Linked DNA regions of Tamandua tetradactyla. The protein of the gene in region 1 interacts with the protein of each later gene in a biochemical or structural test. Links are inferred from orthologs where the notes say so. Each region holds a gene or a part of one and is shown on either strand. Other genes may lie near its edges.

Region 1 (7,021 bases):
AGGAGGGTAAGTAAATGGGGGGGGGTGTGGATAAGCAGGGGAGTGAGTGGGTGGTCAACTAGTCTTGGGAAATTAAATCCATTTTAAAGAGGCCTTAGTAAAAATTTAAAGCTATTAAAACCCTAGTGGTCAAAAACAACTGATGGTACTTATTTGGTATAGAAGAAAAACAAAATTCCACAGACCTTGGACAGACATCAACAAAAATGTTTTTAGTACAAGTGAGCATCTTCAAGGCCTTTCTGTTTAAATTCAGAGTTGAACAAATCCTAAGTTAAAATGATATGCTGTCAACTGTCCCTACAAGAAAATCTCAAGTGAATTTCAATTTTCAGATCAATATATGCTGAGACAATTTACTAGAAAACCTTCAACCTTTACATGGGGTAAGGAAGACTATCATTACATTCGTTACCAATAAGATTACCTGGAATTCATTATTCACGGAGTGGCATATTGTCAATGGAACTGACCAAGTCAGATTTTGTAGGATATGAACAAGATTTCACAGATCACAGTAGTCAAGGTAGCCATAGAATGCCTATCACCTCAAAATTAGCTTGCTCTCTCTCCTCAAGCAGCTTCAAAACCACAAAAGAGATGGATTTGGCTCTACCAGGAGTGTTTCCTAAAACTATTCTATCAATTAAGTCAGCAAATACTGATTGTGCTAATGTGATGCTGATCACTTATTTTAAATATCCTAAAATATCATATCACCACTCTTAAAAATGTTAAGTAATCAGAACTAGCTATCAAAATTGATTCAATGCTGGCTATTTTCAGTCATCACAATATAACCAACATTTTATTCTCACCTTTTCCAATTATGACTTTGCTGGCGCATTTACATCAGATATAACTAAGATGCAACAAACATAGTTCACCCACACACACAGTCATTTTGCTGCTTTGGGGAAACACCTAATTTACCTTCACTGGGTGCTCCTAAAAATAAAGAAACCAAGGAGATTTCTGGCATATTTGTCTCTCTAGAATGGTGCTATTCACATGTGGCCACTGAGCACCTGAAACATCTGACTGAGGAACTGAATTTTGAATTTTATTTAATTTTAAATAATTTAAATTTAAATTTAGAAACACACGCTCAATTCTGCTACTGGAAAACTTTTAAGTATGTTTGGAGCAACTTAGATATGTGAATCTACTTTTTCAAATGTAAAATTTATGAAACCTAAATACAGATAAAGTATTTTCGAAAAGAAAATTAGCTTAGTATGATAATTGATATGTGCTGTTCATGTAAAACATAAACTGGATTTCAAAGACTTCACATGAAAGAAAAAGAAAGGAAGTAAAAAAAATTTTATACTGATTACATGTTGAAACGATAACATTTCAGATTTATTGAGTTAAATAAAATATTTTATGGACAATAGTTTCACCTGTTTTTACTTTTTTTATGTGGCTAATAGAAAATCTTAAATTACATATGTGGCTCACATTCTATATCTTTGGACAGTGCTGCCCTAGAGTACTTCCTCAACCACTTTACCGGGTTATATTTGTATATCCTTCTAGTAGAAAGGCTGGTCATGTAACAATAGGGGCAAGGAGTAACATGTCCTCCTGGCAATTGGGTGTGAGTAAAGTGTGTAGCAACCTCTACTCACAGTTTCACCATTTCATGCAAAACTGTAATACCTCAATATGGAAGGAAAAAAATGAGTTTTCAGCACTTAAACAAATTGAAATTCAGTACTGCAGACAATTTAAAAGAAATAGAGCCTACTGTTCTAAGGTTTCAATTCCCAAATACAGACCTCTGAATAGGCAATAAATATTTCGATGTAGCTACCCAGCAATCTTTATTAAATAAGCCAAAATTACTCTTAAATCTTATCTCCCCAACTTCTAAAGCCAGAGAACACAACGCTGAACTAGGAAATCAACTTCAAACTGCCAGCCAGCATTTCTCTCACAAGCAAACTGCCAGCATTTCCCTTCCAAGAATTGTGCACTTGGAATAGTGTTTGACAAGAATGAAAAGGAAACTATTCAAAACAGATTTAAGGAATGGACAATTAGATGAAGAACTGCAGATTTAATTCTCAATCAGCACTGTGATTAATCTGATTCCATGCCTTTCCCTAGTGTAATTATACAACAAAGATGAAAGGATGAGCATTTGGACTGTCAGTTCTATCTTCTAGACCAGCCGGGTGACTCAAAGCAGACAGCTCTACCACGCTAACCACCACCACCATCAACACTCAAGGAAAGCTTCGAACAAAGTCACCGTATAAATGAGGCATTAGAAATTACGATGTCTCCAACTCTTCCCATGTTCATCTACGCTAGGTGAGGAATTTGCTGAAACTAAACGCACCCCGTCTTAAATGACCCCCTCCAATCCGGACATGGGGTGAGCACAAAGGCATCTAATATCCTGCACAATAGACACACACCCCATAGTTGAAAATCCTGGACGTTCTTCGTCTACCTCTCCATGCAAGCAAAGGAAATGCAAGCTGCTCTTTTCATTACTGGTCTGTGCTACATTCAAGGTAACAATAAGCCCAACTGTTCCCAGGAAACAACTATAAAATCGGTTCTGCCACGTCCCTGTGCAACCATCAGATAAAACGCAGGCAGCAGATTTCTGCCGCCCCGCGCCTCATGTGCCCGACATCGCCTCGTTTGCCTCAACACATCGCAGAGAACCCCAGACCCCGGTCCAGGTACTTCTATAAATACTCGTGGGTGAGGAGGATAAGGGAGGTGGAGGGTTGGGAGGGCAGGGGGCAGGCCCGAAGCGGGTGCGGGAGGACCAGGGCATCCCTGAAATGCATATTCCCACACTCCCGTTGCCTCGCGTGGAGACTCACTTGCCGATCACCTCGCACAGCTCGTACACGTCCTCGAACAGCACGTCGTCGTCGGCCATGGTCCGAAGAGGACAGGGGCCGCAGAGGTGGGGAGTGGGCCTCCGAAAACGGGGGTGGGGGCGCCAAAGAGCTCAGCGCCCGGCCCGGAGATCGTCTCCTCCCCTCGGGACCCGCGAGCCCTCGGTGCTGAGTACGCCCGAGCCGGGCCGCAGCGGCGAGGCCCGGAGACTGCAGCGGAGCCTGCCTCTGCGGGCGACCGCCCCGGCGCGGGCGGCGGGGCCGGGGCGCGGAGTGAGGGCGGCCCGGGCCCGACGCCGCCCGCCCGCCCGCCGCTCCTCGCGCTGCTGGGGCCGCACTGCCCGGAGTGCGGATCCTCAGGGACCGCGCACCTCCCCGCTTTCAGCTCGTCAGCCCTCGGGGGCCGCGAGATCGCGGCCGTTCCCTCTGCCCGAGGCCGGCTCCGGCGCGACGCGGGGCAGCTCGGGCTACAGGGGGGGCCGCGGCAGGACCATGGAGGGAAGATCACCGCGGAGGGAGGTGGCGGCAGCTCGGCGCTGGGGACCAGGAGGCGGTGGCAGAGACGCTCCCTCCTCCTCCTCCTCCTCCTCCACTACCTCCTCCTCCTCCTCTCCCCGCCGCCGCCCGCCCTAGAGTGGGAGGGAGGTTCGTGAGACGCGCGCTCTGTGCGGGCGGGAGCCGCAGCCACCGCCTTCTGCTCCTCCTACTGTGCCTCAGCCACCGAACCTTTCGCTAGCTCGGCGCACGGCTTCACGCACACACCCTCCTCCCTCTTCGGCCGCGCGGCTTTCCAGAACCCCAGACCCCGCCCACTCCAGCCGGTTGGGAGGTGGTGGCTGAGAGAAGTGAACCGGACTGGCCGGCGCATGCGCTCGATGCAGAGCCACGTCACAGCTAACTGGCGGGCGCCGGGAATCTAGAGTGGGAGGGGGGTTGGCCCGCGGGGTTCGCCGGCAGCAGCTGCGGAGGAAGGGGTTGTCTGGGTCATCACCTCCACGCCCTGCCTGCGACCAAGCCGCAAAAGGAGTCTTGGACAGAAGGCCCACCATCGTGCGCACGCTCTCGGCTGTCTGCTGCGACGGGCTCGTAACCACTTATGCACCCCCCTTTCTTTTGTAAGGGCAGGAAGCCTTTCCCAGTTTTGCTAGAAAGGAGGCAGGGAAAGGATACTGATGTATGAAAAAAGAAGACAGGTAGAGAGAGTGTCACTCAAGATTGTGCCAGGCGGCGGATGCTTTTAGTGCCACTTTCTACTTCCTTTATGAAGATGAGGGCTGGGAGAAGGGGTATGCCCACTTACAAGAAAAGGACCAAACAAAAAGCGTCTGGGAAGGTATGCAACAACAAACGGTAATTTCTACAGACAGCTTCTCCCGCCTTTTGCTCCAAACTCAGCAAATACCTATCCAGCTCTTACCCGCAGTATGGACACCTAGAGAGCTCAGGAATGCAGGGGCATACTGAGACTTTAAGCCCTTTTGTATATCCTCCTTCCCTCAAACCCCCAGCACCTAGTCTGCTGCCTATACTCCCTGTAAGTGTTAGACATATCAGGATAAAAAAGCAACTAGAGGGAGTGGATGCACAGGGTCAGCCAGGGAAGGCGGTTCTGCGTGTTGCCACTGAGCTAGGTTCCATTCAAATATGAAGATTTCTGTTCAACTGAGCATGTGCGGAATGAGCAAAAACCATCAGACAGGTATATATCTCACAGTTAAAGCGCAATAAAAAAAAAAAGTCTTTGTTCCTCCGCACAGCAGAAGTGCCCAATTACTTCATAAGTCAGCTTTCAGAAATCATGTGGTAAAATTCTCAGTGTGGTAATTTAAAAATATAATGTTTACTAAAGTTGAGGGGTGGGTGAAGATCCACAGCCTTTTTTTCGCTTCAGTGGTATTTGGTGCAAAGCCTCGACCACTCCCTCAAGCAGCTGAGGAATTTTCCAGCGTTAAGGATCTAGGAACTAAGTCCCCCTTTATACAATGCGGATCAAAGGAAAATTATAATTGCACAAGAAGGCTTTGCTTTCCTCCTTTCCCAAAGAGCTTGTGCACTCTCTAGGGAGGGGAGCTCCAGAGCCTGCGAAACATAGGCCTTCTTTAAGGTACAAGTCCAAATCACTCACCCCCAATAAATAGGTCACTCCCTTCTGCCCTGAAGTGCACAACAACCCTAACAAGTCACCTTGTCGACTTCACTTCCTTTTCCCAGCCCAAATGGGAACTATGCCAAGGCTGTTGACTACTTCATTTTGGTTTTTTATCTTTCACAGGGACCTATGCTCAAAGGGAGAAAAGGACAATTATAAGGTAAAACAGAAAAGAAAGTAGAGGTTAAGGGGAAAAAAAAAGGCGAGGTAGGTATGCTCTCTGCTCATGGAATCATGAGTTTAGATCTGGAAGGAGCCTTAGAGCTAGTCCAATTTCCTCATTATTCCCTCAGATGTGGGGGGATATGGTGGTTGCTCTCCCAAGAGCCAATCTTCCCCTCCACCATTGGATAGTGGCCATGAACTTGAGGTGGGATTGTAATCACCTCACCTGGAAAAGTGGATCCTGATTCATTAAACTAATAAATCCAGCCCTTTTGTCACAAAGATTGACCTAATTTATTCAGCTCTTGGCATTCCATGGCCATGGCTTTGAATGGTTCAAGGTCTTCTGGTCAGCACAAAGCTCAGGACTTTCCCCAACATCACTTCCAACACCCTCTTTCTCCTCATCCCACCCCCCACACCCCCATCAAAATCACCACTCTGGCTTTGAATAAAGAGGCAGCCTCAATTGCTGCTGGCAGTCATCTAGTACCCCTGAGAGGAAGCAGGCATAACATGAAGGTGGAACTCAGGGCAGCAGGGGGGGAGATGGAGAAAAACGGTGTCCTTAATGACATTATTGATCTCCTTGTTCAGCCAAACCTCCAGACATCCTAGTTATATAAGGCAATGAATTCCCTAATTGTTTAAGCCATTTTGAGTTGAATTCCCTGTTACTTTCAAAGAAACCATCCTAAAAATGACAGGTGAAAAATTCAAAGACAAATAGATGTCCACGTCACATAATTAGCTAAACATTGAATCTGAATCTAGATCTCCTAGTCCCAAGTGTGGTATTTTGTCATAAAGAAGAAGTCCTCTGTAATACACATCCCTAAGAATTTGTACTATGCATTATGGCTGGAGGTAGTTCTATGCATCTAAACTAAAATAACTAAGACTTCTTAATGAAATTAGCTCTTTTCTGGATTTCTTCCAAAAACCCAATACTCAATGTATTTATACCCAATGTACAAATGGTCTGGTGTCAATTTAGTTCTGTTTTAGTTTCCACAAAGAAAATTTTAAAGTGACTAAGTGTATCACTTAGATTGTGTTGAGATATAAATAACAATCCTCAACTAACAGTGATTTAAACGAATTAGGGGTTTGGGTATCTTTCTCATGTAGCAAGGAATCTGGAGGTAGGTGGTTGCTACCATTGGTTCAACTACTCAACTTTGTTACCAGGAACCTAGGTTTTTTTTTTTTTTTCACTCTACCATCCTTTACATGTTAGCTTTTCATCCTCAAGCTTGCTGCCTCATCATCACACTATGGCTGCCACAGTTTCAAATACCAAACTGTATTCAAAATCAGGAAGCAAGAGGGCAAATGGGAGTAAGGAAGGCATTTTTTGCTCCTCTCCCATCTGTTATTAAGGAAAGAAAATATCTCTTCCCATTTCACTAGCCAGAACAGTCACATTGCAACCCTCAACTTCAAGGGAAGCTTGGGGCAAGAGTATTTGACTATTCTTGCCTCTTCTTTGGAAATAGGCAATGGAGAAGCAGGTAGGGAATGGCTTCTGGTAGCCAGTCAGCAGTATCTCCAACACTAGGAAAATTACCAATGAAATAATTTCGTATCTCCATCGTAATGTAGATATATACCTTTAGTATATAATTTATAGTCCTTTAAAAATTAGGAAATATCTCATAACTCATAAGACTGAGTTTGGTGCTAAACAAATTTGTTTCTGAAATGTCAGTGAATATCCTCAATGGCTTTTAGGTGTTGGACTTATGGTTGCATTTGATAGTCTCTGGCTGTTGGATTCCCATAAAATTTCAACATGATCCAGAAATAAAAGGGAAAACAAACCCTAGAGAAATATTAG
Region 2 (7,367 bases), on another chromosome or scaffold:
TGCAGAGTAAAAATCCAAGCCAGTGGGAGAAATTTGAAATTAAAAATTATGAAAATGGAGAAGTGGCAAGTGAACTTTTAATACAATCAATTTAAGTGATTTTCTCAGGAAAAAAAACAAAAGCTGTCAACACATATTTCTAGAGTAGTGGACTTGTTACACCTAAGGACACAGATTTAGGAGTCACTGTAGATTGTTCCTGGCAGGCAGTGACTCACTGTGCTCTCACAGGGAAACCAGATGAAGAAAATGGTATGGGAAGCTGTCCTGCTGTGTAAAAGACGGAGTTTTTACGGGATACTGTTTGCCATCTGGTCAACAAACTGCAACAGAGAAATAGTAGTACTCCTGAAGATCTAGAGGGGGTAGCCGAAACAGGCAAATGAATACAGAATCTTCCATGTAAGAAAAAGGAGATTTAGAAAATGTTCATCTCAAATCCAGAGAGATAGAAAATATGAAGAGAAAATGAAATTGCACAGATATAGTAAAATGTATTCATTAATTCGGCCATAACACCTGGGTGGGTGTCTATAGGGAAGTGCTGGAAGGTTCTTTCCTTGGCCTGTGCAGGTCAAAAATTCTTCTACATTTGATAACATAGTTACCAAATTTGCAAGATGTAAAGCTCAGGAGAATAACTATTGTATGGCTGAGAAAATAATTGAAAATCATTAAAAAAAAGAGGCAAAATATAACAAGATTGAGTTTAGTAAATATAAGTATAAATATCTTAATTTAAGTTTTGAAAATAAATTAAGAGGAGGGAGAGAAATGTATTGAAAATGTATTTAGTTGGAAAAGCCATGAGGTTTTTCTTGGCGTCAATTCAGTGTGAGCTCTAATATGTTCACATGCAAACTGAGATGTGCAACTTATAATATTTTGACCTTAAGATGAATGATTAGATATAGAGTATCCATACTAAGGGAAATTAACAGCCCCATTGTATTTTAAATTTGTCAGTATTGTGGTGTTCTGGAAAACATATTATACAAGGAATTGATGAGGGGGCAAGGACGTGAAGTTTGGAAAAAGACATCTAAATGTTTGTCTTTATTTGCACTGTTGTTTTTTAGATGAAAAATAGTTTATAGCTAAAGAGCCTCAATCCTTCATTCATGTATTCATTTAGCATTTCTTTTTTGAGCATCATCTACAGAATAGGCACTATTCTAGGCACTGAACATGTTACAGTGAACAAAGCATGCAAAATCCCCACCCTCACAGAGCCTATATTCTAGGTCACATTTGAGACAGAGGGACATATGAGATGAAAGTGTTGTCTGCTTCAGATCTGCACTTGATCCTTGTATATTCAGAGGTGACCATAGCACATGCTATTCAGAATCTTGGTCTGTTCATGATTCCAGAGCATCGCTCATTGCTAAGTAGGCTTTGGCTTGGTGCTGCCACTCTTCTGCTGTGGCTGCTGGTTATCTACCAGGATTCCAGGCATCTGCCCTTCTTGGGTGTCATCTTCTGTGCCAGTTGCCTTCTGAGGCCCCGCTAGTCATTACAAGAGAAGTAACCTATCACTTTGATCCCAAAGCTGTCTGGGTTCCACAAGAAAATGAAAAAAACAAAAATCACTCTCACTTTTTTTTCCCACATTGGTTTCTTAATTTGCATATGCAGTCCATGGGCTGAGCTGAAGATAAGTTACGGTTGTGTTCTCTTCATTTCCCCTAATTGCCTATCCTGGGCCCAATTTAAGTTCGGTTGAGTTCATTTGTCTCATTTAGAACTTAAGCATGATATTTAGATACTGCCTAATTTGTTTTCTTTATATGCTTAATATTAACACTTAATATCCAGTAAACCAATGGCAATCATAAGGTATCCCAGCAGTGGATAAGAAATAACACAATTGTTCTCTATAATAAGAGCTAAGTGCAGAAATGAAAGAAAAAATATATGTTTAATAAGCACGTAATACTAATTTGTATTGCTAAGTATAAAGTTGAAGAGATGGTTGCTTTTGTGTAATGGAACTGCTCTGTACCATAGTTATATTGGTAGTTACACTTATACAGATGATAAAATTTCATAGAACTATACCCTCTCCCCCCCAAAAAAGAGTGCATGGCAAAACTAGTTAAATCTGAATAGTGTCTGTAGTTTAGTCAATAATATTATGTCAATATCAATTTCCTGGCTCTGAAAATTGTACTGTGATTATGTAAGATGTTAGTACTGGAGGAGGCATGGAGAAGGGTACCCAAGAACTTGCTATACTATTTCTACAACTACTATGTGAGTCTAAACTTAATTCAAACTTAAAAAAACAACTTTAAAAGGCAAAAAAAAAAAAAATCCAAACTTGCAGACTGCCATGTGATTGAAGTCTCTATCTCTTATTCCATTTGTGTCTGTATATATTACATGGATATATATCGCAAATAACTCAACACATATACTTCTTTGACACAGTCAAGTTTTACTGACTAGAAAGCCGTAATATATTTACATTGCTTAGAGATTCTGGATGAATATATAATTGAAGATAGTATCCTAAGCTATATATTAAAGCATTATAATGCATAGGTTTTTATACAAAATTCAGGTAAATAGATCATTCTTGAGTTGAAATAGATGGCAGTAGAATACTAATATAAAAACTATATAAATAAGGTGACTGGAGCCCATTCTCTGATTTTATGTTTGCATTATTGCAGTAGCAAAATATTATTGAATCTGAATAACTCTGAAAAGCACCTCACAAATAGCACATACTTGCTCCATGGATCTAGTCTCTTGATAAAGAGTTATAAGACATCATAGATGTGTGTTAATATGATTCAATAAGCAAATAACTCCTTCATAATTACAATCTTAGTTAAATATGTAAATTAATATATGGTTTCAAATGATATTTGGTTTATTCTTATAATGCCTTCTTCCCATCAGAGGTTTTATTTCCATTTCTTTTTATTTCTTCCCAGGATACCATCATGCTAATTACCTTTCCCCTAGATAGTTCCATAGGAGATTTCCCAAAGACAAGTTGAATTAAAAAAAAGAGCTGAATAGCACCATCTTATTCTCAAAGTAACCTAATAGCTATTAAAGCTTGTTTACTGGCACTTATTCAAAAGGGCAGATTCAAAATCAGTCTCCAGTTTTGTTTTGTTTTTTTAATTCCCCAGAACCTCTGGGCTAACAAAGCGCATTGTTTATCTATCAAATAGATAGATGTATCTCCACACCTGACTGCTCCAGGGAGAAGAAACTTGCTCTGGATAACATTTTGCTACAACAGCTTTAAAATCAGAGAACCTATTTATCTGCAGTGTGCCCTATATTCTCTATACTCCCTCCCCTTGAATAGAGGACAATGTGTTCAGAATTTAAAGTGGTGATCATCTATGTGAAGTTCTAAATTATTCTATTCAAATAGAAAGCAAGTAAGATTTTCATAGGTATAGGGGAATGTAGCATAGCTTTAGAAACACTTCACATTACATGCAAAAAATGGATAATCTTTCATTATGAAAGAGAGCATTAAAGATGGAAGCCACAGGATAGGTTTTCTGTAAATCAGGAGCCGTAACCAGCTACTTGTCTCAAGTTCTAGCTACAAAAAATTCTAGAATTGAATATGCATGACACCAACGTAACAAACATATTTGTTCAGTTCAGTCAATTCTGTTAATTTGCTGAAAAGAATTTAAGTGAATCATTTAGCATCCTATAAACAAAACAAAGGGTGGTAATTGCGTGAATTATTCTTTTCAATGTATTGAGTTGGCAACATGTGAACAAAGGCAACGTGTGTCTATACTTTTGGCTTAAGTAATTAGTTTGTTACAAAATGAGATTTTAATTTAGAAAACTACTTCTCTGGTAGTCTATAAAATGAACTGAGGAAGAAAGAGACTGAGAGCAGAGAGACCATTCAGAGAGCTGTGAGGGGAGCATGAGAATTTCAAACAGGGCAATGGCAGCTAAGGGTGAATAACTGATGCAGAGGCAGGACCTTCTGGTTGCAGGTGAGGTGGAGGAAGAGCCATGGATGTGACTTAAGGTTATGGCTTGGAGGACTAAGAGGATGGCAGTGTCAGCAAATAGTAAAGAAAAACAGGAAATGGAGCAAGTGTTGGTGGTGGAAAAGCAAAGCCTTTTTATTTTTATTTTTTCTTCTGATTAAATACATTTTACAGCCATTCAAATAAAGATGTCTAATAGGCATTTGGACTTCTGGCCTAGAGTTCAACATCCAATTTAGGGCCAGAAAGTATGGACAATGGGAAATAATCTCCAGTACTTAGATTATTATGAGAACTCCCCACATCAAAAAGAAAGATTAAAGGGAAGAAGTCAAAGAGCTAGGAAAATAGGAGTAATTCCAGAAGCAAATGAGATTGCAGATGGAAATGCTTTGGTAATGGATAGTGCTGATGGTAGCACAACATTGTGAACGTAATTAACAGCCCCGAAATATATGTCCGCATGTGATTAGAAGGGGAAATGTTAGATTCCATATATGGTAACAGAATACATTTTTTAAAAAAATCCATGGACGTAAACTACGCAAACAGTAAACCCTAAGTTAAACTATAGACTGTAATTAATAATACAATCATAAAAATGTACTCTCATCAATTGTAACAAATGCACAGTGCTAATATAAGGTATTAGTAATAGGGTGGTATATGGGAATCTTGTATTATATGCATAACTGTTCTGTAAACCCACACTTCTCTGATAAAGAACAAAAATGAGACTGCTGTCTCAGATCAGAAAAGGTGTTTACATAAGAAGGGCAAGTTTAGTTGTTAATATTAGTGTAATGATATACAGAACTAGTGTGCTGATTAAGAATACAATTATCGGGCGGGCCACGGTGGCTCAGCAGGCAAGAATGCTTGCCTGCCATGCCAGAGGACCTGGGTTCGATTCCCGGTGACTGCCCATGTGAAAAAAAGAAAAAGAATACAATTATCAGTGTGTGATCATGAAAATGTAACAATTCTTCTCTTCTCCAAGAGGTCACCTAAAGTCAGAATTGAGTATCATGTCTTGGAGTTCACTAATATCTGGTGATACAGGAGATTAGTTATAAGAGAATGAGGAGAAAGTGGGTGATGACACATGAACCTTGGGAGACTACATGTAGAACCTTGGGAGAGCTGCATGTTCAAGAACTTTGGGAAGTCAATGAAGGAGGATATAAGCAGATTTTCAAGCATGCATCTTTAAATTGCATGTTTATATCTTGCAAATAAAATCTTGTTCATATTTTGGTATAATATTGTAGTATAATTATTTAGAATAGGAGACACCTTTTTGGTTGATAGATCAAATAACTTTAAGAATTCTATGATAATAGCAAGATGGTTTCAGTACCACAAACAAAACTGAACTTTAAAATAGTCTGCAAAAATATTTGTGAGGAATATTTTCTGCTATATTAAAAAAAATAGGAGAAACATATTTTTAGTTATGATAACATCAGACTTTCATTACAGATAGGAGAAATAAGGTGAGTAAAAGTAGAAGAAGATTAAGTTTGATATTCTCCTCAAAATCATAGATTTAAAAAGAAAGAGGAAGGGAAGGAAGGAAGGGATACAAGGAAGGGAGGGAAAGGAGGGAAATATGGGAAGCAAAGGAAGGGAAATTCAAAATAAACCTTTGGACCAGGCTTTAGTGATTTTAAATTCCAGTAAAAAACTAAGATTTTATTTAGTACAAAGTAGGGATTTTCTAAACTTTTTGAGTTGGGAATTTTTATGTGATCAATACCATATTTTATATTTCAGAGGAATGAGATGGAAAGCAGGGGGGAAGACTGGGAAAGTATTACAATATCTTATGTATGAAATTGAAGAGGCCTTAAACCCTGGAATAGATATGGGAATTGAAAGGAAGTGAATATCGATAAAGAGCTGTAACTAGGGGTCACTAATGAAAAGATAGGTGAAGGTAGAATAAATCCAGCCAAATAATTTAGGGAAAGCGGGATACTGGAAAATCAGGCAATTCTAAATTGAAATATTTCCAACTCCATAGATTCTAAAGACATTTGGAAACAAAAATCTTTGGGAGGTTATAAATATAATAGTAAGTTTGCACACAATAGTATCAGTACTCTAGTAGCACATGGAATATCCAAAAGGTTTACCTGGACAGAAGAGACAAGAGAGGTAAGGTCAATTATAAAGGAGCCGATAAAAGATGGTAAGGAACTCCTAAACTAGTGACGGTGGGAAACCATTACCACTCCTAGGATTTAAGGAACAAGTGGAAGAAACAGTATTGTCAGCACTGGTCACAGCTAGAGCTATAGAGGGGTCCTGAGAGCTGCTGATCATCTGTTGTTGAACTGCATAGGTGGAACCCAATCAAGAATCACAGAGCAAGGAGTCTGAGCCATCCAGTCTGTGGGAGTTACCTCCCCTATTCCCCAGGTTTCCAGAAGGAAAGAAAATGAATCCGGGAGGCTGAGAAAGCAAAGCTTGACAGCAAAATATCCACCATGGAACTTATGGTTAAAAACAAGAAAGTGAATGATTTTACTTGTGAAAGGGTAGGGGGAGAAGCATCATCTTTAGTAACCCATAGAAAAATAAAAAAAAATCCATTGAAGGCAATCAAGAGGTGATCAGAGACTCAAAGAAAAATGTGCAAACTACAAATGTCCTTGAATAAGAGAGATTCGATGAGAGAATGACTGACTGTGGGATGTTGAAGGAAATTCAAATAACCACACCAAAGAAAGTTGATTGGATCATCAGTCAGCTTTCTGAGTTTTAGTGCAAAAATAAACAAATTACTGGGGCTTTAAGAGAGCAAAGAGGAAGAGAGGAAGGCAGAGCTATCCATTTATTAATGAAGTTGTCAAATGGAAGGGAATAGAAAATTAGAACTAGTTATGAAATGGAGGAACAGAATATAAAAAGGTTTTCTTTTTTTACCCATGAAAGATGAGATACAAATATACTAGGGGAAAAATGGCTTCTGTAGACTCAGGAAGAATCAGTTATTTTAACTCTCTCTGCGTACCTCAAGGAAATATTACTGGATATTAATCTTGCTATAGAATAGTTAAATAGGAAGCATAAGTATATTAAATTGAGAGAGAATAAAATCATTATTAATGTTCAAGTCAAAGAATGCATTAATATCACATAGTGTAAGGCTGGCCAAATCAAGACTTTCACATTTTGAAAAGGCACAATTTAAAGATGACAACTTACTTTGCTATTATTGATCCACACCCTAAATAAAATTCAGTAGTTTTGTTGATATTGTGTGTATGAAAGCGTTTGGCTCCACGTTTCAAAAGAGATGTATTCTAGGTACTTGGCAAAGAGCATATTCCCAAATCCACTGCTGCTTAGTACTTACCAAAAACTTAGGAA
Region 3 (7,043 bases), on another chromosome or scaffold:
CTCTCTGGGGTTTCTCCTAGGATATTTGTGGAAGAGCAGAACAGCTTGTCTTCCAGTGTCTGCTGGTATACCTGTTCCAGGCTGGCTTTCAATCCTGGTTCTGACAACCTTAGAATTCCATTTCTTTTGGGAGACTGTGTACCAGTGTACTACAGGAAAGCACATCTTCAGAGTCAGAGAGAGCAGGGGTCCAGACCTGGCTCTCCTGTACTAGTTGTGTGACCTTGGGCAAGGCATTTCACTTGAGAGCCTTGAGCTGTGAAATCTGTGAAATGGGGTCATATGTGTTATGAGGGGTTGTTGTAAGAGTTGGAGACAATGTAAACAACATACCTAGTTCAATGCCTGAAACATGAAGGAGGGGGCAAAATAAATAGTAACTGTTATTAATTCCTTCCCAGGATAAGAATTCCAACTGTGGCCTCCTTGATGGAAGCTCTTGCTTAGACAGTCCCAGGGATAGGAAGCTTACTCCTCCAGGGGTAGTTCTGCCTGGAAAACCTTCTTCCTTAGATGCAGCTGAGACCTGTCCCACTTTTGCCTCTGGGGACACAGTGCATGCTGCTCTGTGGCCAAGGGACAGCTCTGCAGCATTTTCTTTACAAAATCTCAAGAGAGCTGATGTACTACAGGAGCAAGGCTCTGGAAATCCCCAGCCTGCAGCCTGTTTCAAAGGGTAGATTTTAAGTCAAGCTTACTTAGGTCTCAGAAATCCCTTACCCCATCCCTGTGGAGTTTGGAACACATGGATTTTATCCTTTTGGGTCCTTTTTCCTAGATGAACTTTCCCCGTTTCTTATGAACATTTCTCATAGAGGTACATGGGAGAACCGAGTTCTGATCCCAAATCCATCACTTCAGGGCAAGTCACCTATCCTCACTGAACCTCTGGTTCCTCATCTGTGAAATGAGGAAAATTATACTACCTTATAGGGTCATAATGAGGATTAGCTCAGAAAACTAACGTGAAAGTTCGGGATTTAGAAAAGGTATTTGGTATATATTAAACACGTTTTCTAAAAATACATTTTTGAAAAAGAGGTTAGCAGGTAAGCTCATCTGGTGTTGTTCCTTCGCCCTTTATAATACCTCCAAAGGAAATCGTTCCATAAAGTACATGCCACTCCTGGCTTTGGAATGATGCAAAATCAGGTAATTTCATCTGTAAAGAGTCTACTCAATTCCAGGCTCATGTACATACCTTATTCTGCAGATGGGGACAGAAGCCCAGAAAATGCCCAGCAGGTCACAGTGGTCACGGCAGGACCCCAATTCTTCCAACTCTCAGCATTTTTAACCTCCAGGACTCTCTTCAGCAGGAGGAAGGTGAAGGGAGGACATTCTCTGGGCCAGACCAGTTGACCCAGGACTGGGATTCAGCATTCATTATTCCTTCAATTAATCTTTGCTGAGCACCTCCTATGTGTGGGACACTACATTTGGGCAAGCTCTGTGTTACCCCTCTCTATAACTTGTGTCATCGTGGAATGGTTGGTCTGGAACTCAGCCTTGGTGAAGGTCAGGGTGATTCCATCTTTCTTACTCCTGTATTGCCAGTGCCTGGCACCTGGCACAAGGTGTGGCACAAAGGAGGACCTTAGCAAATACATTTTTAAAAATGAATGATGGTTTTATTGAACATGACTGTGCGACAAGGTTATGTGGCAGGAGAAATTCTATCTAATAAGCCTGCTAGGCTGGTATTATGCCCCTACTTAATACATGAAGAAACAAAGGCTGAAAGAGGTGAACTGAGTGGCCCAAGGCTTCACCTTGGTTGGTGGTAGAGCTGAGACTGGAGCCCAATTTTTAACTGCCTCAGGCTTGAGCTGGAGCTGCTGCCTCAGAGCTGTCAGGCAGGGCTTTGGGCCTCCACCCACTTATTTCCTAGCCCCAGGCAATCCCAGATCTAATTGAAGACTGGTGAAGGGCTGACTTTTTTTGAATGGCCTCAAGGAAACCAGAAATACTAATTCTGGTCTAGTTCATAGCTTTGATTCTATCACCTTTCTGCGCAAGCATCCAGGCTAATTAAAAGCAAACAATCCAGGTTCAAGTTCCACCTTCCCAATTTTCTGGTCATATGGTTTTGAACAATTACTTGGGCCTTTTTTTTTTTAAAGCTTCACTCACTTCCCTCTTTTGCCTGATTACTGTCTGGGACCCCCAACTTCTGAAGGGCCAACTTCTAATAAAACTGTAGGGCAATGTGGCTCACTCTCCATAAAGCCCTGTGGCTCATAGCAACCCCCTGGGAATGGAGAAAAGGTATTTCCTGTTCTTTTCTAAGGACTCCTAGGGAGGCTGACATCTCTCCCCCTAGATGGTCCCACAGTAAAGGAAAGGTTCTGAGGGATCCTGCAGGGGTGAGCCTCCTCACTGGCAGATGAGGAAGCCCGAGCTCACCCAGACAATCAGGTAGAGTGGACTGGCACCTAGAGGTCCTGACTTCCAGATAAGGACTTTCTCCGTTGCCCCATGTAGCCTTCGCTACTTTTCCTCATCGATTACCATCCTTCCACCTGGTTTTTATAACCCAGAGAACGCTTTGGGACAGAGATTCTAGTCTTGCTGTGCGACCTTCGGAAACTCCAGGCCCATTGGTGAAACGGGATCCTGGCCTTAAAGACATCTCGTCTTCCACTCAGCAGAGTCCATGCTCCTTGACTTCAATGCTCTGTAGCAGAGAACCATTTTTCTGCTTGCAGGGCAAGTGCCGAACCCCGCACTGGCCAGGCACCTGCAGCGGGCAGCAAAAGGACTTGTTCATGCTCGCCCCTTCGTATTCAGCTAGCTGGCCATCCGTTCAAGGGAAAACGGAACTCTCCTACCACCACAGACATGCTGCACCTCTCCCCATCGCAAAAACTTCACTCTGAGCGTCGTTTCTCCCCCAGCCCTTCAAACAGACACACATGGAACCGCAGACGCAGGCGAGAGGTGGGGGAGGGCTGTGCGCGTGCGTCGGCGCCGAGCCCTCTCCCGCCCACGTGCGCGCCCCCAAACGGAGGCGCGCGCACCGCGGCTGGCTGGCGGGAAAGCGCGCGGGAAGCCCCCAGCAGGCTCCCAGTGCGAAGGACCGAGGGTAGGAGGCGTTTGGAACGTGCCACTCTCGGAGAGGACGGGGGTGGATTTTCGTGCTCCGCTATCGTTCCCACCTTCCCATCCCACCGACCAATCCGTTAATTTCCCCCGTCCCCTGCCGCGATTTAGCGTCCTGCGCCGCGGCCGCGCTCCCCCACTGCAGTCTGGGGCCCGGCCGCAGGAGCCAGGCTCTCGACTGAGCTATTGCCGCCGCTGCCGAAGCGGGGCGCTACGTCGCGCTGTAAAGCCGGAAATTCCCGCGGCCTGAGTGGCGGAGGCGAAGCCGAGAGCCGGCACCGCCTCCCCTCTTCTCTGGACGGGCGGGGGCGTTGGGCCCAGCTAGGGCCGGGCTGCCTGAGGGAGGCAGGAGGCGGGTACCGCGTCCGCATAGAGCAGCCGGGCCGGCGGCAGACAGGGAGCGTAGGCAACGCGGCTGCTCCTCACTAGCGGCTCAGCGGGCGGGGACACCCTGTGTCCCGGCTCCCGGGTCCCCGCCCCCTCCCGGTCTCCGCCTCCTTCTCACACACCCCCCGGGCGGTTCGAGCCCCAGGCCTTCCCTGTGCTCTTCCTCCTCTTTACAGTCGCCCTCCGGCCCGGGTCCTCCGGTCGCCCGCCTGTCTCGCTCCATCAGGGCGAGTCCTCGTTCTCAGGCTCTTTTTACACACACACACACACACACACACACACACACATACACACACACACGTACGCACGCGCGCGCGCGTACTCGCTGGGCCGTCCCCTCCACTGCGCGCCCCCCCTTCTTGCTAAGGCCACCGTCGGGGGAGGATTGATGTCCCTTCAGCATCATGCAACCGCCGCCGAGGAAGGTGAGGGCGCAGCTCGGGGGCTTTGGGGCTTTGGGGTTTGGGGGGCGGATGCGTCCAAGGAACGCGGCTGGGGCAACCGCTGAGTCCCCTCCCCCTTCTCGCCAGGGCCGTGACCGCCCTCGCCTCGGGCTTGTCACCGAGTTGTCGTCTGCTCCAGGCTGGGGAGCGCGTGTGAGTTGCCCTTCCGACGGAGGAGCGGCGGGGGCTTAACCCCTCCACCGCGCTGGAGACCCCCAGGCATTTCACAAGAGTTTCGGGTGTGCATTTGTGTGTGCGCGCGCGCATGGCAGTGCTGCCCGCTGCAAAGTGCATTCTTTGGGCTGCTCCGGAGGGAGGCGAGGGAGCCCCTGCAGTTTTGCAGAGCCTTCTGCGTGTGATTGTGTAGTCTGCATCTGGTTTGAACCCTCCAGCCGCTTGTCGCACCCCTCTGCATTTCCAAATTTGCAGGGGGGTTATATCAAGCCTAGCCTTATGGTTTGGCCTGCTTTTCCCATGGGGCAGAAGAAAAGAAGTTGGAATAGTCACAGTCTCCCTTCCCAGGGAGAAACAAGAAATTAAAGATTGACCAGTCCTATCTTTCTCCACCCAACCCGCCCCGCCTCCCGGCTGGGGGTCGAGGAAGCGGTGGTGCTGCTGCCTCCAGGAAAGGGAGGACAGGGCCAAGCGTGGCGTAGGCACCACGACCTGGGCATGGATAGTCCCGATGGGAGTGACGGCTCCTCCGGGCTTGTCAGTGGCTTCCCGGCTGCGCTCTTCGCGAGCTGTTTCACTGCCTCCTTCGCCAGGGTTTGCAGGGGGCCGAGGCAGTGTCCTTGTCTTTTTAATTCTGCAGATGGTTACTGAATGTCTACTCTGGGCTCTGGAAGGAAGGAGGCCGATGTTCGGTTCTCCCCTCGTGGGCAAACATTTGCTGAATGCCTGACTCGTGTCTGCTTCCTCTTCTTTCTCTTTCTTAATCCGGGGTTCTCCAGTTACGTGTGCCCTTTTCTTTCTCACACTTACCCTCACCACTCCCGGTAGTCTTGTTCTGGCGGCTGGGATATTCCAGATCCATCGTAATCTCGAACCCTGGAGTCCCGGCCTGGAGGGCGGGGTTTTGGCCAGCTTGCATTTGCTGTGCTCGCTATTTGAAGTGGAACCACCACGGGGACCGTCTAGCTGGGTTGACTTAAAAGCACTGCAAACGCTGGAAGGTCACTTTTGCTTTCTCCTTTGTGAGAAAGGGATTATGATTTGATGTGCTGTCAGCGAGTCGAGGGCATCATGCTGAGAAAGTGTGCTTTCTCACAGCCATTATGGAATAATTCATCTAGTCGATGCACATTTTATGATTGTGTAAATTTCAGTTCTTAGGAATTAGATAGTCTTATTCTCCCTTCTCCCATACACACTCTGCTTAGCTTTTCTGATGGCTGATGTCTTTGAATCTTTTTTTTTTTTGGAAGAAATAGAAGACAGGCTGTTTTAAAACCATGAGAAGACTTAAATACTGAATTTGTGCATGCAAAGGAATGACTGGCAGTTTATCTTGCACGTTTTTAAGCTATAATTTTTATACTTGCATATATCAGGGGCTCATTAACCCTCTCTTTTAGGTTGTTAGGCTAGTTTTTCATTAAATAAGCATCTTCAGTAAATAATCATTCATTAAATAAGCATCTTCAGTGATTAGCAGTGAATGTTTGGTCTTCAGAGGAGAATTGAGTTTATAGTCTGACAAATATTAAGTATATTCTTAAGTAATTTTGTTGTTATTGTTCAAGTTCCAGTAAGGCTTTCATAAATAAATGGTATATTTTAGGTGAAAGTTACACAAGAACTGAAAAACATTCAAGTTGAGCAGATGACAAAACTTCAAGCCAAGCATCAAGCAGAATGTGATTTGCTTGAAGATATGAGGTAAGGTTACAGTAAATAGTGTGAGAATTGTATCTCTGTTTCCAAGAACCTTTGAGTTACCAAACCCCAGGAACTGATGATATAATTTCCTTTTGGATTTCCTGCTTGAAGGTTGTTGGAGCTTTGACTGAGCTGGAAATTATAACTGGAACTAATACAATAAAAATTTTTTCTTCAGTGGGGGCACCCTATAATGTACACAGTGTTCAAGGGTCTTTAAAAGTTTGTCAATAGAATGATAATCTTTGATGTAGAAATTATTTAAATATTTTCCACTGAATTGTAACAATTATTTATTGACTTTAAAAATTTTAAGCAGTTAATTTTTTTTTAAAGCAGTTCTATTTACACACCATATACTCCATCTAACAATCAGTGGCTCTCAGTATAATCAGAGTTGGAGCAGTTAGATTTTTAAATCAACATCTGTAGTTAATGGTTAATATCTGAAAGTGTGCCAGTCAACCCTTGATAATTATTTATTAAATACTAGCACTATTTGTTGGAATGTGACAGATGTGATCTCTGAATGGTAAATTTAGTGGGAAGGTAACATTAAAGTTACCTGTTTTCATAATTAGGATAATGTTGAATTTAATTTTGCCAACATTGTGAAAATCAGTCACTCTTTATAAAGGGAAGCCTGACTGTTTTTAATGAAGGAATTCCCACTTATTTGTAGTTAACAATCCTATAATATAGTCTGACCATTCAGCCAACTTATATTTTGAAGGGCGAAAGATGATTGACATGATGAAATTGAGTGGCCACAATTCTTATTTCTCTTTATTAATACATTATTCAAATTGGAATTGGATCTGTAAGCCACATTGGTTGCCTATCCACTAACCTGATTTTGGTTTCATAAAAGAGTATTAACTATATATTGCTATGATAAATGTGTTTCTATTGCTAAGTTCTTTGTAGGCTGAAGATTTTCAGTTCCTTTTTTCCTCCCCTGTATGTAATTCATATACTACTTATGAGCTTTGCTGCTGCATACCTTACTTTTCATGGTTTTTAACTCAAGCATGTAAATCTAGTTTCATCCAAACTTGGATATACCAAGGTCATTTTTTCCTGAAAAGTACTCTATTTCAGTTTTTTTTTTTGTTATTCTCATGGCCGCAAGGAAATTTTTAGACTTAATTCCTCTGTAAGGAGAATTCGAAGTTCTTAAGCTCTATTAAGAGGACTAAGGTATTTTAGTATAAATCTCTAGATGAAGAA
Region 4 (7,815 bases), on another chromosome or scaffold:
CCACAACAATTCTCTATCTGGAGCTCACCCTGCCCTTTGGGGCCTGCCTGCATCTAAATTAGTTTCTCAAGCTCCATCTTCCTGAATACAGTTTCCTACCCTTCAGTAACCTTGCTCTATATATGACAAAGGCACACAAAGGGCATAAGGGAGAGATGTTTCTTAGAGAAATGCCTCTGTGTATCCATCTTCAGCCTTTACTAGGCCTGCTATGCAGGTAGACAGGAGGAGAGACCCTGGGAAGAATTTCAAGGTCCCATTGGAGTCCCACCAACTCTAAGAAGCCTTCCTCAAAGATTCCAGCACACATCTTCAGCTTCTTCTTGGCCAAACTCTCTCTGGGTTTTTCCTCTGCAGCCCAAGTCTTAGAGTTAATCCTACAGTCATTTTGTTGCTGTCTGATTTATGTGTCTCCACAACTGGATCAAAGGCTTCTGGAAGGCAGGGTCATGTTGTATAGAACATATTATATTAATTTGTCTGGCATTGCACTGTGCCTGGATGCTCCCTGCCTACCATTTCCAGGTTTCCAAATTATCGTGCACACTCCTGCCATGGCCATCTTGCTAAATATAGACCTGAAAAGGCCATTCAGTCTAGACCCATCTTCCAAGCCTTCTGTCTCTACTCTATACCTTTGCTTATTTCATTACCCTCACAGTTCCATCCTCACCCCATCCAAACTAGTTGAAAGCTTACTCTTTCAAGGTTTTTCAGGCCTCTCCAAATACTGACTCCTTTCTAGAGCTTTTAGATATTCCCATTAGAAGTTATCACTTCTTGATATTCCTGTAGAAGTATTTTCATACTTTATTTTTTAACATGTAGTACCCGCACATGGTAGGCCTTACAAATACGTTTAAAAAAATAACACCTTCTGTAAGTGGTTAATTCTTCTATGAACATGTCTGTGCCCCGCCCCTCCAACTAGGCTATAAGCTCTATTTTTCTCTGCACTTCGTGTGGGCCCAGCCAAGGTGGAAACAGTAGACATTTGATGAATGCATACTGAATTAAATAGGTATGCAGTAATACTTGTTGAATGAATAAACTAAACTTCTAAAATAAATACTAAAGTGGGTGTGCCAACTCAAAAAGAGGAGGTAATGGTGACATTTCTGCTTTACTTAGTACAAGTGACCCCAAAAAAACAATTTAATCCAGTTTATGCTTGCATAGTGAGTCATGTAACCAATTCACAGGAAGGGCAAGGGTACAGTAGGATATCAGGAACAATTTGAACCCAGATTCAATTTCTGCCAAGGCTCTTCAGCTGTCTTCTCTGTCTCTCTCTGCCTTTAAGCATCATTCTTTCCTACTGCTGGATGTCTTCTTTCACATGACAGGGCACACGGCCATAACTTCACTTCTCGCAGTGCTCACTTTTGGAGGGCTCCAACCAAGCCTTGCTCTCTCTTTGGTATTAAGTTAAAAAATTTCAGGAAAAAAATTGTTCTTGGTTAGGGTCAGGCAAAGTGTGATCTCTAATAAAATAGCAATTCCCATGTTATCAGATTAGAAAGAGCAACTAAAGAACTGGGTAGGGGTGTGGGGAGGGTGGTTGCCGTTCTGGCCAGACAGAACAACAGACACCCACAATAGGGAGTAATGTCATTTGCATTCAGGGAAGGTGGGCCATGGGACTTAGCAGAAATGGCCCAGCAGTATCTTGAGCCCTGCTCTGGGGAGGCTCTGAATCTGGCTGAGGACAGCTGGCTAAGTTAAAGAAGCAGAGTACCTGTTAAGTCAAGAGGACTTTGACAGCACTAAGAGACAAGTAGGGCTGCTGGTGGGCTGCGGAGTGCCCAGCCAGAAGCAAGCCAGCAATGAACTTCTGATGCCAGAGGCAGTGCCTTCCCTCTGGGGAGACAGCTCTACTTTCCCACAGTTAGTGCTTATATTATATTTACGGATAGGTTTATTTTTACCCATTCCAGACCTCAAGCCCCAAACCTACTGCTGGAAGAAACAGGCACTGAGGCTTCTGGGTTTCCAAAAAGCACAGGCTTCAGTGTCTGGCCCAGTGCCAGAGACCCAGCTGCGGTTAGTCCTGTAGTCATCTAGACCGACCCACCTCTCACATCGCTCTCTCCTGTCTACAAGGGAGGTAGGGATGGAGGTGAAGGAAATTGTCCTTTGCCCATCCCACAATCACCCCGCCAGTGAAAGGTTAGCACTGGGCTCTGAGAGGAGGGCCCTGACAGTTACGGTAGAAGTCATATCCTGGCCTGCCCATGAACTGTGGCCGGCAGGAGGGGGAAACACGTCAAAGCCCTCTTGCAACAGCTTCTCCCCTGCAGGGCTGGTTCCCTAGAACCAAGGGACAAAGGAGAGGATTTTGTCTTTCAAATCAGCAGCTAGGAACTGGCATAAGTTTTTAGCCCCCATATGCCAGGCAGCCAAAATAGACTTCTCCTTTAGTGGGACCACACATCTGGCCTAAATTGTTATTCCTCCAAGACAATTTATCGAACAGTTAGGCACTGTATTCATGCACAGCCACTGCAGACAAGCTTAAAATATACGTTAAGACATTAGAGCCATTTCAGAGACTGGCTTTCTCATGATAAAGATGCAACTGACATTCATCAGGTACTAAAATGTCAAGTTGTTGCAATCCAGTAGGAAGCCCAACAAGCCATTAAATTTGAAGTTCTGTTCGACTGATTCCTTTCCGTTCATTCCAATGCTTCCCCAACAGCTGATTTTGACTTCTGAAGCTGACATTTTGGTAGAACCTAACAAAATCTCACAGGGCCCCCTGTCTTTCTGAGCCATCATTAAAATGGGGAGAACTCCTAAGGCCAGAGACCAAGCTCTTGAAATGCCCGAGGGATTGGACCAAAGAATTTGAGAGAGGAGTGGTGCAAATGAGAACAAACCTTTCATGTCCCCCAAGTTTCTGGGTGAGGACTTCAAACCCCCTAAGGAGGATTACTTGGAGAATAATTCATGGATGAATCCCATCCCCTCCACCCCTACCTTCCTTCATCAGGACTGGGCTGGGGAAGAGAGACAAGCCCAGGCAGGAGCTTATTTTAGTTCTGCTTCCCAAGGTATTGATTCAGGCAATCTCAAGTACCACATTAGGGAGCTCAGGTCTGAGCTTGGCACAACCAGGCTAAAAAAATTAGTTTTTTTTTTTTTTCTTTTTTCTTTTTGGTCTGTTTAACTTGCCTTAGCTCAGAAATAGGATGTGGACGAGTTATTGAGAAATAGTAGGATAGAAGATAAAGAGAGGAAAGAAAGGCCTCAAATGTTAGGTAATCAGGAAGGCTGCTAATGGGCATAGGGTATCCAGACCACTGGATGGTATTCACAGCTCTTTTTCTCCATGTGCAAAATGAACCCTCCAGAAGGTTCTGTGTTCTGGGGAAGCAAAGGAGGACAGGTGTGGTGGTGGTGTTGGGTTAGGATCAGAGAGGCCTTTTCCCAAACCCCTGTTAAGAAGGTTGGGAAATTGTGGTTGGTCACCTTCTTCACAGCAGAATTGGCAGCTATAAGCTATGTCATGTATGCTTAACTGCCTCCCATAAGCACATAAATAGGATTGCATGTGTGTGCCGTGGTGGGTGTGGGAATATATCAGTCAATGAAGATGCATTGTGTGAACCAGTTGATGGTGCGTGTTTATACTTGAAAGCTGTAAGGTTCTATGCAAAATCTATGGGTGGCACTGTTGCACAATGCTGGTGGGTGTGTGGCTGCGGGGGTGTGATTAACAGTTTATTGGCTGTGTAGAAGTGTGCATGGACAACTGCAAATTAAAGCGTGTATGCATGTGCATGGAGTGTGTGCAAATTAAAAGGGAAATGTATGCCAGACTATGATACAAGTGCTAGAAAACACTTGGGCTTTGGAGTCAACCTGACTTGGCCTTGAATCCTGGCTCTATCATTAACCAGAAGCATAACCTTGGAAAAATCACAGGATCTTCAGTTGCCTTGCCTATGAAATGAGGATAATAGTAAGTACCTTTCAAGATTGCCTTGAGAATTAGGAATAATACCTTGAATGCAAAGTTTCTGGGGTCAGAGCTGTCAAGTAGCAGGATTCAAGAATAGGTAGCTATCATGTACTGTGTATGCACCTCTGGTAGGTGCAGAGGCAGTTGGGAGGAAAATGTGCCCCAGAAATGTGTGTGTGAAATCTGGGTGAGGAAGTGCATACTAAAAGTTGGGTGTACAAAACTGTATTATGTTTGCATGTATCCAAACATTCCTTCTCCTTTCCCATTGAGCCCCATATCCAGACAGGGGCAGTAGGGTGGGAGCGGATGGTACAAGTCTCTGTAGGCCCCTTGGGTTTCGGAGTTTCTGGGTCCTGGGTCTAACCAAGTAAGAGGTTGAGAAGCTGGTAGGAGCAGCAGGAAGCCAAACGTCTGCAGATGCTTCCTTTTTTTTCCCTCCACCCAGCAACGGTTGAATAGCCACCCACATTCTCTCCGCTTCCCCCCCCCCCCCCACCTCCGCTTTCCTTTCAACAAGTGAGAGCAAGGGTGGGAGGAAACTCGAGGGAGGAGAGGATTCCTTCCCTTTCTTTCCCCATTCCCCCTTAAGACAAACCAGGAAGCAGCTGCAGCTCAGAACCAGGCCACCTTAACAGTAGAGTAATGGTCTGGCCTCTCGCCAAGTCCCACCTCTGTTCCAGCCTCTGCTCCTCCCCCTTCTCCTCCCTCGCTGCTCCCGGAGAGCTGGTGAGCAAGAGTCTGGACGGAGTTGGCAGGAGCTGTTGCCATGACACGCATTTTCTTAAGAAAGCTCTGCTGTTGAGACCATCCAAAGCTGGGTGGTGGTGGTGGTGGTGGGGCCCGAACTTCCTGGGGAACCATCCGTCCAAGGAGGGCAAGAGCAGACACCCGCCCAGCTCCCCAGCACCCGTTTTCTTCCAGGAATCTGAGAGGTCCTTCCCCTAGGCAGGGCCGGGGGAGGAGACCCAGCCCACTACCCGGCCCCGGTAGGGAAGGCGAGAAAGCAAAGCCAGCATCTCTAGGCTGGTTGCCAATTTGGGGAGGCCGGTGGGTGGTCACCTCCATCGTACCCCCGTCCATGGAAACCTGGAGGGAGAGTCTCGCTTGGAGAAACCTGGATCGTTGCTAGAAAGAGAGGTAGGCTTGCAGAGAATGAATTGACTGGTGACTTGTAAACTTTGTTTCTTTCCTCTCAATCTTTTAAAAAACTCCCTGAATTTCCTCTCCATAGTGTATTTTATGTGATTGGATTTGGAGATCTTGGAGTATTTGTGTAATGTGTTTGTGTGTGTGCACAGATTTGCTAAATATTTGTTTCCTAGACTTGGTTTGGGGAATCTATATAATCAAACAAGTGATTTTCTTTTTCTAGTTTTTGTCATTCCTGGACTGTGGGGGTAGGGAAATGGAGGGAACGTCTTTTCATACCCAAATTGAGCTCTTGGAAAAAGCATTTATTTTCTCCATCCATTCTTGCCTCCCCCCTCCCCCCTTGGCTTGGGAATGAGACGCAGAATGGAAAACTGTTGCAAAAATATTTTCCATGTCTGTTCCCTGTTCCCTTTCTCGAAAGCCCCAAAGAGAGATGGAAAAAAAAAAATGCAGAAGATTTTCAGCAGAAGGAGGAGCTGCAGTGGGGACCTGGAAAGGGGCATACTGGTGGGGGTGGGTGGGTGGGAGGTGGGGGCTAGGAGAAGTTGGGGTGGGGGGAGATAGAAAATGCACAAATTAAATTTGTTTGACTTTGCAGAGAAACCTCAGCAGTTTCTCTCTGCCTCTTGCAAAACATCCTTAGACTTCAAGTCTATAATTAGCTATGGAAAAAGCTGGGAGTTCCCTCGTACTGCTGTTGTTTGACTGTGTGTGAGCATCAGGAACCAACTGTGTGAGTGTCTCAGAAGGGCACCACCCCAAACAACTCAGTTCCCAAAGGGGAGAGAGGAGAAAGGGCTGAAGTTGTAAAGTTTGCTGTTTTAAGGCTGCTGATTGTGGGGCTGGTGAGTGTTGGGGGGTTGGGGGTTGGCAACAGGCGTCCTTGGGAGGGTCCCTGGAGCGTCATGGGCCGCTGCGTTTGTCTTGTTAAGGAACTAGAAATTAAGGCTGGGATTCTCCTTCCTGCTGTCCCTTCACACACACACACACTCACACACACTCACATACTTGGCTTGGGGTATGGGGGTCACTGGCATCCTCCCTGGGGTGAATCCAGTCCCATGCACTCCTCCTGCTGAGGAACCCCCGCTCCCCTCCAGCTGGGTATGGAGGGCACAGGAGGGGCTGCGGCCATCCTGGGAGTGGAGCGGGCACTCTGCTGGCCATAGGCGCCTCCCTCCTGGGCATTCCTGATAGGACTTACAATAACTTGCAGACATGATGCCAGCGCCTGCTGGCCTGGTCCGGGGAATGCCAGATGAAGAAATTAGGCGGGCACTCAACTGATGCTGGTGGGGGTGGGTGGTGGGTGGGAGGGGGGTGGTAAAATCCCATTCCACAGTGCCATCTCCAACCTAGGGTGGGGTGCCTGGCAGGGAGTCTTAAGATCCATTCCTCCGTCCCTCCGTGAGCCCCTCCTCGGAGCTGCCCTGTTCATGCCCTTCCTCATCTCTAGGCCCTGTTCTTGGAAGGAAGGGAAGATGTCAGGGGCATTCCAGGCTGGGACGGGCAGGGGAGGGAGGCCTGGGAGGAGGGAGGGCCCGGGTGGGGAGGCCTTAGGAGGAGGAAAGCTGGAGGGGCGGGGTAGCTTGGACCGATCGAGAGCCGGCTTACCCTTCCTGGCTGAAGGTGGTGGCATCACGCAGCTGACTCTGGCGGGCTGGTGGCATGGTGGCAGCAGGGTAAAAGGGTGCTTTGCGGGGTGGGTCCTGGAACTGAAGCAGACGAGTATGTAAGAGGCAGGCTGAGGGGAAGAGAGGAGGAAACACCTGCCCTTGCCCCAGTCGGAGAAACTGGGGAAGAAAGAAGCAAAGATTTTGAGGAAAGCTTAAATGGGGGACAGGAGAGCAGCAGGAACCAGTTTTCATTTGGAGGTGTTGGATGATTGATCGGACTGCACCCCGGGGCCAGATGATCTACGCTGCCTTCATTCTGATCAAAAGATGAGTGAGGCCTTCCTTGGGGAGAGGGTAGGCGGGGAAATCCATTCTTTGCTCCTCCTAGGGAGCCCCGTCCAACCTGCCACCATCTTGCAAAGGTACAACCCTGAAATCATGCTGTTACACCCCCACTTCTCACCCCCCCCCCCCCCCGCCCGTGTGCGCCCATCTTGGGGATCCAGAATCGCACCAGTCTGCAGCCTGAAAACAATACTCTGACTTGGGAGGTTGGATTCTGGTAGGTTAGTGGGACTTCTGCCAGAACCCAGCCCTGTGGAACAGGTCCTGAGTTAGTGCCCTGGGTGGGGGGGCTGCAGTGGAATTTGTGCTCCGCAGCCCCAGCCCTTTTCACCAGTGACTCCAAGCAGGATCAATACTGCAGCAAAACTGCGTCCCCTCCCCTCTCTGCCTCCCGCCCCCGCGTCAGCCTCTCCCGCAGCTGGGCGCCACACTCCCTGGCTCTGCCTTCATCTAACATACTCTGTTGGAGAAGGTGCTGAGAGCTGCAGAGCTAAAGTGTCTTGCTTCTCAGGTGGCTCAGAGCCCACTCAGTCACTTCCATTCCCATTTGCCACCTCTGTCCTCGGATTCAAGGTCAAGTAGGAAGAAGTCCTGGTGGTCTGTCTTACTCCTTTGCAGACTCCCAGTGCCTAGCACAGTGCCCGAGACTTATAAGTACTTGCTCCATCTTTGTTGAAACAAGGAAGCAGCAGTTTGGAGGAGACAGGTAACAGATCTAAGGCCTCTCTTCTC

What was found.
Region 2: the proteins of CASK (region 1) and CNTNAP2 form a complex in vitro, tested with the Homo sapiens proteins (2 studies listed by BioGRID and IntAct, with this or other methods). The link is inferred for Tamandua tetradactyla from reciprocal best matches to the Homo sapiens genes CASK and CNTNAP2.
Region 3: the proteins of CASK (region 1) and FCHSD2 form a complex in vitro, tested with the Homo sapiens proteins (2 studies listed by BioGRID and IntAct, with this or other methods). The link is inferred for Tamandua tetradactyla from reciprocal best matches to the Homo sapiens genes CASK and FCHSD2.
Region 4: the proteins of CASK (region 1) and ATP2B4 form a complex in vitro, tested with the Homo sapiens proteins (2 studies listed by BioGRID and IntAct, with this or other methods). The link is inferred for Tamandua tetradactyla from reciprocal best matches to the Homo sapiens genes CASK and ATP2B4.

Annotation. Positions count from the first base shown.
Region 1 is NC_135353.1:130,139,274-130,146,294, reverse strand, and holds the start of CASK (peripheral plasma membrane protein CASK), read right to left. Parts: upstream 3,078-7,021; 5' UTR 2,909-3,077; coding exon 2,850-2,908; intron 1-2,849. UniProt on the Homo sapiens protein: Multidomain scaffolding Mg(2+)-independent protein kinase that catalyzes the phosphotransfer from ATP to proteins such as NRXN1, and plays a role in synaptic transmembrane protein anchoring and ion channel trafficking.
Region 2 is NC_135327.1:191,131,767-191,139,133, forward strand, and holds the start of CNTNAP2 (contactin-associated protein-like 2), read left to right. Parts: upstream 1-4,246; coding exon 4,247-4,384; intron 4,385-7,367. UniProt on the Homo sapiens protein: Required for gap junction formation. Required, with CNTNAP1, for radial and longitudinal organization of myelinated axons.
Region 3 is NC_135334.1:72,922,668-72,929,710, forward strand, and holds the start of FCHSD2 (F-BAR and double SH3 domains protein 2), read left to right. Parts: upstream 1-3,923; 5' UTR 3,924-3,962; coding exon 3,963-4,085; intron 4,086-5,715; coding exon 5,716-5,813; intron 5,814-7,043. UniProt on the Homo sapiens protein: Adapter protein that plays a role in endocytosis via clathrin-coated pits. Contributes to the internalization of cell surface receptors, such as integrin ITGB1 and transferrin receptor.
Region 4 is NC_135330.1:60,978,901-60,986,715, forward strand, and holds the start of ATP2B4 (plasma membrane calcium-transporting ATPase 4), read left to right. Parts: upstream 1-4,671; 5' UTR 4,672-5,107; intron 5,108-5,691; exon of another isoform or gene 5,692-5,967; intron 5,968-6,736; exon of another isoform or gene 6,737-6,837; intron 6,838-7,815. UniProt on the Homo sapiens protein: Calcium/calmodulin-regulated and magnesium-dependent enzyme that catalyzes the hydrolysis of ATP coupled with the transport of calcium out of the cell. By regulating sperm cell calcium homeostasis, may play a role in sperm motility.